Linked DNA regions of Arabidopsis thaliana. The protein of the gene in region 2 interacts with the protein of the main gene of each other region in a pairwise test. Each region holds a gene or a part of one and is shown on either strand. Other genes may lie near its edges.

What was found. Proteins that work in one complex are often made in the same cells at the same time.
Region 1: the proteins of AT3G13670 (region 2) and AT4G10140 interact in a protein complementation assay, tested with the Arabidopsis thaliana proteins (one large-scale study listed by BioGRID).

Annotation. Positions count from the first base shown.
Region 1 is NC_003075.7:6,320,423-6,325,214, forward strand, and holds AT4G10140 (uncharacterized protein), read left to right. Parts: upstream 1-1,890; 5' UTR 1,891-2,115; coding exon 2,116-2,192; intron 2,193-3,157; coding exon 3,158-3,228; intron 3,229-3,336; coding exon 3,337-3,442; intron 3,443-3,559; coding exon 3,560-3,692; intron 3,693-3,834; coding exon 3,835-3,999; 3' UTR 4,000-4,272; downstream 4,273-4,792. Other genes in the region: AT4G10130 (DNAJ heat shock N-terminal domain-containing protein), read right to left, coding at 537-1,061.
Region 2 is NC_003074.8:4,467,424-4,474,089, reverse strand, and holds AT3G13670 (Protein kinase family protein), read right to left. Parts: upstream 4,938-6,666; 5' UTR 4,657-4,937; coding exon 4,273-4,656; intron 4,168-4,272; coding exon 4,039-4,167; intron 3,930-4,038; coding exon 3,856-3,929; intron 3,739-3,855; coding exon 3,669-3,738; intron 3,580-3,668; coding exon 3,524-3,579; intron 3,300-3,523; coding exon 3,228-3,299; intron 3,078-3,227; coding exon 2,983-3,077; intron 2,911-2,982; coding exon 2,844-2,910; intron 2,756-2,843; coding exon 2,626-2,755; intron 2,539-2,625; coding exon 2,320-2,538; intron 2,224-2,319; coding exon 2,081-2,223; intron 1,926-2,080; coding exon 1,751-1,925; intron 1,664-1,750; coding exon 1,573-1,663; intron 1,529-1,572; exon of another isoform or gene 1,464-1,528; coding exon 1,306-1,463; exon of another isoform or gene 1,203-1,305; coding exon 1,014-1,202; exon of another isoform or gene 916-1,013; coding exon 856-915; 3' UTR 550-855; downstream 1-549. Other genes in the region: AT3G13672 (TRAF-like superfamily protein), read left to right, coding at 1-549; AT3G13662 (Disease resistance-responsive (dirigent-like protein) family protein), read right to left, coding at 5,620-5,625, 6,485-6,666.

The DNA.
Region 1 (4,792 bases), on a different chromosome or scaffold from region 2:
AGAAAGCACAGTCCTGATGTACTACTGCAAGTACACCTACATCACTTCTTCTCAGTCAGGTTCTTATCCGCAAACGTACGCACAGTAAAACTTTAAGAAGGTTCTGAATCAGATATTCGCAAGAACGCAAAAATAAAGATAATTTCACGTGAATATTCAGCTTCCAGCAAATTTAAAAGGAGACATAACTGAAACCAGAGAGGGAAAAAAGAGTAGCAAAACCAAAGGGCCCTTTTGTTTCTCATTATAATTTAAGTTCCTTACAAACTAAAAGTTGTTCAACAACTATATTAAATGAGTACAAAAAACTCACAACAGAAAAGCTTGCAGGAGATCACATTGGTCACAAGAAATCATCTCCATCCATACTTTTCCTATATGAACCTATCCACACAATCACAAATAACCATCCTCAATCAGAACTCCTCCTCCGAACCAGACCATGACGATCACTTCAGTCTTAAAAACTCATCTTGAATAGAGATTACTCAATTCTGTACCAACCCAAATCACCACCTTGCTCACAATAGACCATCCTAGATAGGAATCTTCATATCAGAATCAACCCAAACTCGTGTTTTCAAAGAACAAGAACCACAAGGAAGAACAACAGACGCCACAAAAGCACCCAATCTCTTAACATAAACAAAATCACCATCTCTCAACAAAGCAAACCCCATTGTTCCTAACTCACTAGAATCAACACAAAAGTAATCACCACACCTACACTGATAAAAAAGATCAATCACATCACCAGTAATCTCCACTGACATATCCTCAATACTAATCTCATCAGCAGTGATTCCATCATGTCTTGAAGATCTAAGATCATTATCATAAACTACACGTAGCTCTGCATCGCTTAGAACTTCCCAAGCTTTTTGAATCTTCAGAAACTTCTCGTCGTCTGAGCTAGAACGAGAAGTATTGTTGAGCTTATCTGGATGAGAGTGGAGAATCGCAGAACGATAGCTATTTCGGATTTCTTCATAGCTAGCATCTTCTTTCACGGAGAGAATCTCGTAGTATGTCTCGTGAACACAATTCTCACCGACAAGCATGATTTGTTGAATCCTCCTTAATTCACGACGGTGCTAGGGCTCAAAATTCACCGGCGACGGCGAGAAAATTCGGAGGATAAAGAGACCAAGAGTTTTTAGTGTGTTGGTTTCTTCGTCTGACCATTCGGGTTTTCGGGTCGATTCGGATCAGTCTTTCTTCCGGATTTCGGGTAATTCTGGGAAGATTGGGTCTATATAAAAGAGAACCGAAATTGTTTCGGTTAGCTCGGTTTGGTTATGGTATTCTCGGATTCGGGTTGGTTTTTGAAATTTGATTAAACCCCAAGGTCCCCAACCTATGATTGAACGATATTTTGATTCGGTTTTTTTAACCCGAATTATTCTATAAACCATGAAAGTCATAAAACCAAACAATTCAAAAAAACGTAACATTTTCAAAGTTTTAAACATATAAATCTGAACCGAACCGAATTTGTTATTTTGAGTCGATTCAGATATTTTAGATCCAGTATACTCAAGACTAAAATATACCGTTGAAGTATAAAATATACCGTTTTGACAATTATCAATCTTAAAAGTAATATCAAAAGTGTCACTTAAAACATTACTTTTAGTATTTGTATAATTTTTATGTACTATATTTCCGTACATTTTTACATTATTCCATAAAAAATTATCTCTCATGTTTGTAATTAAAATATTTGTACAGTCATATGTTATCCATCGGACATATGATTATCATATGTATATTGTTTTGGGTTTTTTACGAAGACATGTTCGAATTTTAGATCTGACCCGGACAAAACTGAAACCCGAAACAATTCTAATTTGGGTATATGCTAACCGATAATTGAACCGGATTTTTCGAATCGGGTCGCTTAAATCATTTTGGGATCTTAAATGTTTGGGCTTGGGCCTGATTTAAAAAAATCAATACTTGACCCGATTACGCAAACCCGTTTACGGAAATACCCATCTTCAACTGGTTCCGTGAAGAGACGCGCAAAAGACGATCGATCAACGTTCATTTGTGTGAAATCTGTTAACTTTTTCTGGGGAGAATTAATTTTCGTGAAGATTTTGTAGAATCGTGATGGGTTTATCAAAAGGTAGATTAAAAGCATGGTTCAATAAGAAAATCACTGATCCTCTTCTCCAGATCTTGCGTAGGTTTGTCTTCTTTGACTCTTTGTCTCTCTTTTACATAGATCTGTTAATTAGGACTAGTTTGGTCACTCATATTCTGCTTATTGATTATTGAATCAGATAGATCTCATGTGCAACTTTGTGATCATTGGTCTTTAAAAGCTGTAGTTTTGCATTTTGCTTCTTGTTGGTTACTTAATTTGGAACATTAGAGACTATACAGAATAGTTAAAGGTAGAGTCTTTATACTTGTAGCTTCTAAAGGATCTTAAAAACATCTGTTTAGTTGTTATTGGAACACAAGAGAGACCATTTAGAACAGCTAAAGGTAGAGGCTTTATTCTTGTATCTTCAATGTAGCTTCTCAAGGATCTTTAAAACATCAGTTTAGTTGTTATTGGAACACAGGAGAGACCATTTATAATAGTTAAAGGTAGAGTCTTTATTCTTGTATCTTCAATGTAGCTTCTCAAGGATCTTTAAAACGTCTGTTTAGTTGTTATTGGAACACAGGAGAGACCATTTATAATAGTTAAAGGTAGAGTCTTTATTCTTGTATCTTCATGTAGTTTTAAAGGATCTTGAAAACATCTGTTTAGTTGTTATTGTAACACAAGAGAGACCATTTACAACATTTAAAGGTAGAGTCTTTATTCTTAGATCTTCATGTGGCTCTTAAAGGATCTTTTGGGCATCTGTTAGAGACTGATGTATCAGCACAGTTAAAGACAGAGTCTTTATGCTTGTATCATCATGTAGTTTCTAAAGGATTTTAAGAAAATCTCTTTCTTTGTTATTGGAATACAAGAGAGACCCATTTAGAACTGTTAAAGGCAAAAGCGTTATCCTTGTATCTTCATGTTGCTCATATAGGAACTTTTGGGCATCTGTTAGAGATAGATGTATCAACATCTCTGTCTCTGTTGCAGAAAATTTGATGTTGTGAAGTGATTTGAGTTTGATTTTGTTTTTGTTTTCAATTTTCGTAGAGGTACTGAGCCAAAGCAGCTTGCTTTCTCTGCTGCACTTGGTATTACCTTGGGGATATTTCCGATATGTGGTGCGTATTTCTCGCCATTTTGCTATTTCCTAAGCTTACTGCTTCTTGCGTTGTTGCGTTTTGAGATTGCTATGTACCTTATTTGGTGTGGTTTTTGTTATAAAATAGGTGTTCCTGTGTTACTATGTGGAGTAGCTTTTGCCTTGCTCGGATCATCTTGTCATGCTCCGACCGTAATGTTGGCTAATATCATTGCCACTCCAGTGGAACTAGCGTAAACCTTATATCATTTAAATCTTTTGAAATTACCACTTTTATCGAAAGACGATGCATATCAGTTTTCTTCCTGACTTGGATTTTGGATTTCCTTTTCATGTCTTTCTTATTGAAGTCTCGTGGTTCCTTTCCTAAGACTTGGTGAAAAAGTTACTGGTGGACCTCATTTTCCTTTGACATCAGATGCTCTAAAGAAGGTTTTCACTGGTCAAGCCTCTCAAGAAGTCTTTTTAAGCATTGGTAATGCGGTAAGTAGCTACAATGAGTCTCGTTTCTCTTAGCTAATGGGGGAACTATGTCGAACCGCTTTTTGCATTCCCTAGCCTAATCTTTTGTGCTCTTATCATTAGTAACTTGCAAGTCTTATTTTAAGTCCTATGGTTATTGCAGTTACTAGGGTGGCTCGTAGCAACTCCATTTTTCTTTATTACGTTATACGTTGTATTGCTGCCATGTTTCACAATCCTGGTCCGCAAGTTCGGCGGCGTTGCTTCAACCCAGAAGCTACCTACAAGTATGGAGACGGAGCTCAACCCAAAGCCAAGAGACGCTTAAATTCAACAAGACTTAGAAACCTCACTGTTCTTTTTATCAACACGAAGCCCTCGAAATTGTAACATAAATATGCATAGAGACTAATGTATAGCGTATATACCACACTTGCATTGTCAAATTCTCACACTCTTGTTTCTAAACTCATTTGAAAATGTTAGTAACCAAAAATATTGGTGGTTACATTTGAACGCCTAAACTTGGTGGTAAAGCCCATTTTTTATGGGTTTGTTCTTATATTGATAACTAAATTGATTGTGTTTCTGTTAGAGGTAACCATTATATCCCAACCCAAAACCAAAGTAAAATCCATGCACATAACTGCCTGGTTAAAGTATTCTTCAACCTGATCTGTTCGGTTTGGTTCGAAGTCGAACTGAACCAATAACCTTTTTTAATTACATTAAAACCAAACCAAACTACTGTAATACTAAATCGAACAGAATCCAACCCAATATCGAAATGCCACTTCGAATCTCTCTCAAAGTAAACATTGGCCTTTTTATTGTGGTGTAAAAATGGTCCTCTTAAGAACTCTTCTCATTCGGATATACCAACTTGGAGAGAACTTATAACAAAAGCCATTGACTTTAGAAGTTGACAATGAATATTTCAAAAGAAGAATCTGTGAAAAGTGTCTCTTGGTTCGTACCAATAAGGTACAAGAAGCGTTGACAAAACTAAAAAGCAAAGCGAGAAGGCAAATCTGCGAATCTCCGCGTCCGTGGGAGTGATCAAAGCTGATGTGTTCATCATCCATATCTGAATATTCTGTATATTTTTGTTTATAGAATGA
Region 2 (6,666 bases):
ATTCAAAGGCTACTACTGCATCTAAGGAATGATCACAATGTTGAAATGAGTGATGGGCGTAGTTTCAGTCACAGATATGTTCATCATGATCCTAAACATCTTCATCATGCTACTTGGATGTTAACAGTAAGTTATATAACTGATTATCTTGCTCTGTTTCTGCAACTTTGTGAATTTTTAAGTTTTAACCCACTTGAAACGATGCAGCTTCTCGATTGTTGTGGTCGAAAATTCTGCTTGTACTTCGAAGCGTTTCACCTGAGGAAAACACCAATGTACATGGCCTTCATGCAGTTTATGGGAGATGAAGAAGAGGCAATGAGCTTCAGCTATAGTTTGCAGGTCGGAGGGAATGGCAGAAAGCTGACATGGCAAGGCGTGCCGAGGAGCATTCGTGACAGTCACAAGACGGTTCGTGATAGTCAAGATGGCTTAATCATCACTCGCAAATTGGCTTTGTTCTTCTCTACCGACAACAACACCACCGACAAGGAGCTGAAGTTGAAGGTTTCAGGTCGTGTATGGAGAGAACAGCCTGTTTCGATATGAATTCGATAATTAGGTTACAGAATTGGACAACTATAGAATATTTGGTGACAAAAATATCTTTTCTTGATTTAAAAATTAAATATAGCAATTTCGAGGGAAATGTGTAGGTAAACTGGTGATTATGGCTCAATCCCCTTCACAAGGGGGGAATAAACAACACAATCACCACATTTTTGCTTCACAATTCAACTGAAAAAAAAGAAGAAGCACAACAGAGCCTGAGAGGCCATAGGGTTGGATAAGGAATAGGAGCCGAGACTTAGAAACATATTTCTCTCGTCCTTCAACAGTTTTTACTAATAAGTCTCAAGATACAGTTCGGCCATAGCTTAACGATGCAAGGTAGAGATTCTTTCCCCATTTTTCCTGCACAACAGAAAATTGCATCTCCGGTATTGTTCATGGGAAGGGAGAAAAAGAGTTCAAGATATTGATTAGTAATCTTTTATAGCTGCTCTACTCACCTTGACGTGTGTGCTGGGGAATTGAGAGGTACGTAACGTCTCTTGTGTCTCATCAACAAGTCTACGACGTGGGATGCTTAGGATGAGAGCAGCTTGATCGGTTGTGGCTGCTGTTGATGTGATTCTGAATCCACCATCCCAACGCCTGTGGATGCCTTCACTTGGATACAGAAAATCAAGTTCCACAACCTGTAGAGGAGATATAAGCGAAAACAGGAGAATTAGAAATCAACGCGACAGATCCAAAACTGAAGGAAACGGAAGAAATTCATCTATATCGGTGAAGTCTAACCTGTTCACTGTAGCCAGAATTGCGGGACATAACAACACCCCATCGATTTCCAGCTGTTGCCATTGAGGTTACATGGAAGCCTTCTCTCCATTTCTTGTTTATCCACTTGAACGGGAATGAATCGCTTACTTTGTAAGACTGCTGTGTATACTGCGTACCTTCATAATTCATTTGAAAACCAAACATAGAATAAGCCACAAATTCAGAGACTAGTAAAATACCATAATGACGAAAGTGTTCAAAAGTATTCATGAAAAGTGTAGATACCTTTTGACATGACAACTAAGGAGCTTCCATTGCTTGCACCAGCAATAGAACTAATGTAGTAGTTCTTCTCCCACTGCTCCATAATCCATTCCTGATTCAAAACAGAATTCACTCTCAGGTAAGATCATCTTGACAGAACACAGATATAAAAATAACTAACAGAGAAACATCAGACAACCTTGTGCAAGAATACAGGAGAGAGTTCATAGACTTGGTGCGTGAAGCCAGTTCCAGCATCCATTATCAATGCCCAGAGATTCGAACATGATGATACACAGCTTATCAACAAACCATCTGCAATACCTCTCTCAATATGCTGTGCCAGTCTTATATCAGCCACATTATAATGATACCTGGTTAAACACATAAATTGTGAGTCCAAAAATAGTTTTAGACACATTAAGGCCAAAAATCCAAGATTATAATATAACCAAGAGAAAAAATGAGACACAAACGCAGTCCCAGCAGTTAACTGACTGTATAAATAATTAACCATGAATTTTTTTACCTCTGCTTCATTGGTTGCCTGGCATTGTAAATCGATATCCATTGCGTTGCAGGGACTCCTAGACGGACCTTTTTCCTAGGGGCATCTTCTTCTTCCTCCCCAATGCTCAACCTACCTCGCTTCTGGCCAACTTGGAATATGATCTAGCACAAAAGAAAACAATTACAAGATGTTAAACAACAACTCCTAGATATCCAAATAGGAACGAAAGGGAAAGATATACAGCATGAAAATGTCACCTTTTGAGCACCCTCTGTGTTTATAGGCCTAATTGCCGGATTTTCGCCCAAGAGGTCTTGAAACAGAGATACTAACTTTCCATAGTTGGGTTCTTCATCAAATTTCATATTTACCACGATCTCAAGAAATTGTTTGAAAGGAGGGGGACAAAAACAACAAAGCATATCCGGCGATGTTGCCATCTTCTTTTTGCAAACAAGGAATGACTTGTTATCTCCCTGAAAATTGAGTAAGAGACAGGATTAGCAGAGAAAGAATCATGCAACAACATGATTCTACAAAACAAAATGATAGGTCTGCAGTACCTGATATCCTTGCCATGGCAATCTACCTCGGTGAAGAAAGATCAGTGTATATGCTAATGATTCCAGATCATCCCTTCTGCTAGCAGTTCTCCCTAAATGAGCATGTGCACTTGCGTATCTAACTGTCCCTCTATAAAAATTAAGAAGAGAGAGATTCAACAAAAGGTAAGAGCGAGTATAAAACAAATTATATTAGGTAACAGTAGAAAATATATTACCTAAACATATCAGGACGTTGATCATATTCAACATGTTGTCCGCTACCACCTTCTCTCCACTTTGTAGCTGAAAAGTTGGTTGAAAAATGAGAAAGGTAAAGAAGAACCTAGCAAGAATAACAAAGAGAATGAAATCAACCTAGTCCCAAATCAACAAGAAACAGTTTTTTCTCTTGAGACGTTGAAGGCTGGCCGAGTAAGAAATTTTCTGGCTTAACATCCCCATGCACATAACTGAAACCGAAGTAAAACATGACCTGTTAGGCTAGTTAATAGAGAGAAAACATAAGAACTTAGAGGTGCCGAGACTCCAAACAGGATATCAGAAGAAACCTCGGACAACCTAATTAAATACAAAAACAAAAATAAAGTTCAATTACAAACCCTTTTGCATGCATCTTTTCAAGGATGGAAAGTGATTCAACCGCAATGCAAGCTACCATTTCCGAGGACATTCTGCAAAGCAAAAAGGGGGAGAAGAATTGTTAGGGAAGTCGATTTTTTAAAAGCAAAATGTTACTCAGTATGGACTTATGTATTTTTTTAAAAACAGGGAGTAACACCACATTTCAAGTCACAATTCCAAAAGAATCCAAATTAACTTAGGATACTCATGTATGGAAACAACGCTAATTGAAAAAGAGACAAGAGCTCCCCAAGGATGTGTAATGGAGACTCACGCTTGCCCTGAAGTATTCCATAAATCCCATAAGCTAGGCCCAAGCATGTCCATAACCTGAGGCCAAAACAAAGAAGAGAGGATCTAACTTCAATGATACAGACAGGAGAAAAAAACAGAAATAGGAGAAAGGGGGAATCCAGTACCATGACATAATAGTCTCCTTGCCTGCCTTTGAAATGTACTCTAGGGACTCCATGGCTACCACCCAAGGTGCTGTTCACAATAAAAGTAAAATGTCAATTTCACATTTCAAGTCAAGGAAGCACCTACAATCCAGGTAAATGAATTTAAGAAACATTGAAAGAAAGACAGGAGAATCGAAACACCCACTTGTAAACCTGCCACTCATGTGGAGGACCATAGTTGCAACCCTTGCTGCTCCTATGCTCAAACTTTAGAGCAACCTATATAAGAAAGTGAAGATGTGAGACACTGTAAGCATAACTAAGCTAATAGAATGATATTTATGGTGACAATCCTCCACAGCAGTAAACGCAGACTGAGTTATATTACCTCCAAGATGCTAGCTCCTGCACTACGATCATTACCGCCACTAATACGACGTCCGACAAATACTTGTCCAAAACCACCCTTCCCCAGCTTTCTCTCAACTTTATATAGTGGTGATCCTCCAACTTGAACCTGATACGGAATCGTTAGTCATTACCATAGAAAGATGATAAGCAAGCCTACAATGAAAAGTTCAATAACCCCAAACAACACAAAAACTATGCAAATCAATTATACCCTCTCAGGGAAAGGAGCAGTATTTCCTTCTTCTTCCTGAGCAGCCGCCTTGTTAGAGCCACCACTATCATTACCAATAGCCATATCTTTCTTCTCTTCTTCAACGACTACCTCTTTACCCTTGTTTTTATCGATATCGCTATCCTTAGACGGCACAACAACCGGAATCTCCTGAGGTATCTCTTTATCTTCCTCCTTTAATTTCCTCGCCGCTAATCTAGTCCTCGGCCTCTCTGCAACTCCTGTAACTCCGCCGGCAACCGGTTTTGGAGCTTTAACGGTACTCTTCTTCGGTTTCTTTTCTGTAGGTGTTTGCGGAAGCTGATTGGGAGCTACAGCATCAGTAACACGGCCACGGCGGACTCCACGGCGAAGCTCCGGCATAGCTCAAACCCCATGCAATCGAGACGGGACACGAAGAGTCCGATCATTATAGTCCTCCGAAAACGAGGGCCTGGGTCATGTCGGATTTGGTAAGCTATTTGATATATAATCGGAGATTCGATTTGCCGATGATGAAGATGGCGATTTAGGGTTACGACGGTTCAAGTTTGCGATGAGAAAAATAGAAGTTTATGGATGAAAGTTCCCAAAATGGAGAGAGAAAAGAAGACAGGCGATGTGAAAAAGGCGATATTTATGCCACGTCAGATATTCTGAAGAGGAAGAACCAAAAAAATTTGGAAAAATCAAATTAATTTTCCTTATGACAAAAATTATGTAATAATGATGTGAATGGACTTTTTTTGCGTCACACGGTCCGTGACTTGCGACTAATTTGGAAACAAACGTTTCACGTTTTTGTTAAGAAATAAAAAATTTGATTTCTTTTCTTACAATGGTTTTATATGTTTACTATTTTGAATGTCTTTTCTATTTCAAACAAAAAAGTAGCTAAATGTATTATTTAATTTCTCCGTGTAATATCAAAATTGGTTTTAGACAATAAATAGGTTTGATTTGGTGTTTTTTTTTTAAGGTTTGATTAGCTCGTGATTGGGCTAACTAATCATTATATTTATTTGAACATTTATTTTCTATCAAAATTTCAAATAATTTATTCGCTAATCAGTTGATGATTTTCCAAATTAACGCGGAGTAGAGCCTTTGTGCCACTTAATTTGACCAAAAAATGTATGTTTAATGTATATATAAACAACTACTTATTTATTTATTTTTTAGATGAATAAAATCAAACCATTACAAGATAAAATACATTATTTAACTTGGGAAAAGACAATAACACTCTCATAACAAAACGAGACATAAAAACAAATAAGTAATGAAATCAAATGAACAATATTCCAAACTTAATTATTTCAGTAATGCAGAATATAACAATTATATTCAACACTAGATTCACCGCGGAGACAATTCATTTTTTAAAATTAATATATGTAAAAATTTGTAAATTATTTTATAGTTTACAATTGTTACTAAGTAACATCCTGTCAAACTCGTCCCGCCAAACCCGTCCACAAAAAAAATTTATTTATTTTATTAATGTTGATCTTATTTATAATATATTTATGAATCATTGTCAAAATATTTTATTCGTTGCGGGACGTTGAATCCATACATTTTTCGCCAATTAGTTAATATATGTTCATTCTTAAAATTTTGAATCACAAAATATGACGATTTTTTTTTTGAGATTTTTTAAACTCTATATATTATATAATGATGTTAATTTTTTTGATATATTAAACTTTTTATAAATTTAAATATTAATAGTGTTTTATGAATTTTAAATATATAAATAATAATAATTAAAAAATTAATATTTTTTGCCTTTTAGGTAATGATATAATAATTCTAAAAGCAAGAATTTAGAAGATTTAAATCTTTAATTAAATATTTTCATGCCTGAATAATTAATGTCAGTAGCATGACATTGTAAATAAGTTCAAATACATGATTTGTTTATTTAAACAAAAAACGTTTAGTAAGAACAATATTTATTTAAACAAAAAACTTTGTTTTAAAATATTGTTAACAAAATACTTTTATGCTAATTTTAAAGGATTGATGTGCAGTTTGTTTGGATTAAATTTGATTGATAATGTGATTGACAATTTAAATTAAGAATTTAATGTAAAATTAATTATTTTGAAAAAAAAATTTAATGCTAATGGCATTGGGTTGTAAATAAGTTCAACTCTAAGATTTATTTGTTAAAATGGCTGCAAAAATGTATATGTAGATTGGCAACACCGGCCTTGAGATCAAACGACTTGGTGCGAGCCTCGACATAACCTCTAGCAAATCGAAAGATTCCACTACCTCCGACCACCGGCATTTCCCTAACCTTCGACATCACCACGTTCCGCCCAAGAATCGTTATCGTACTCCCATTGTACTTCCCCGTAGTGAAAGCAAAGTTCATCACCATCA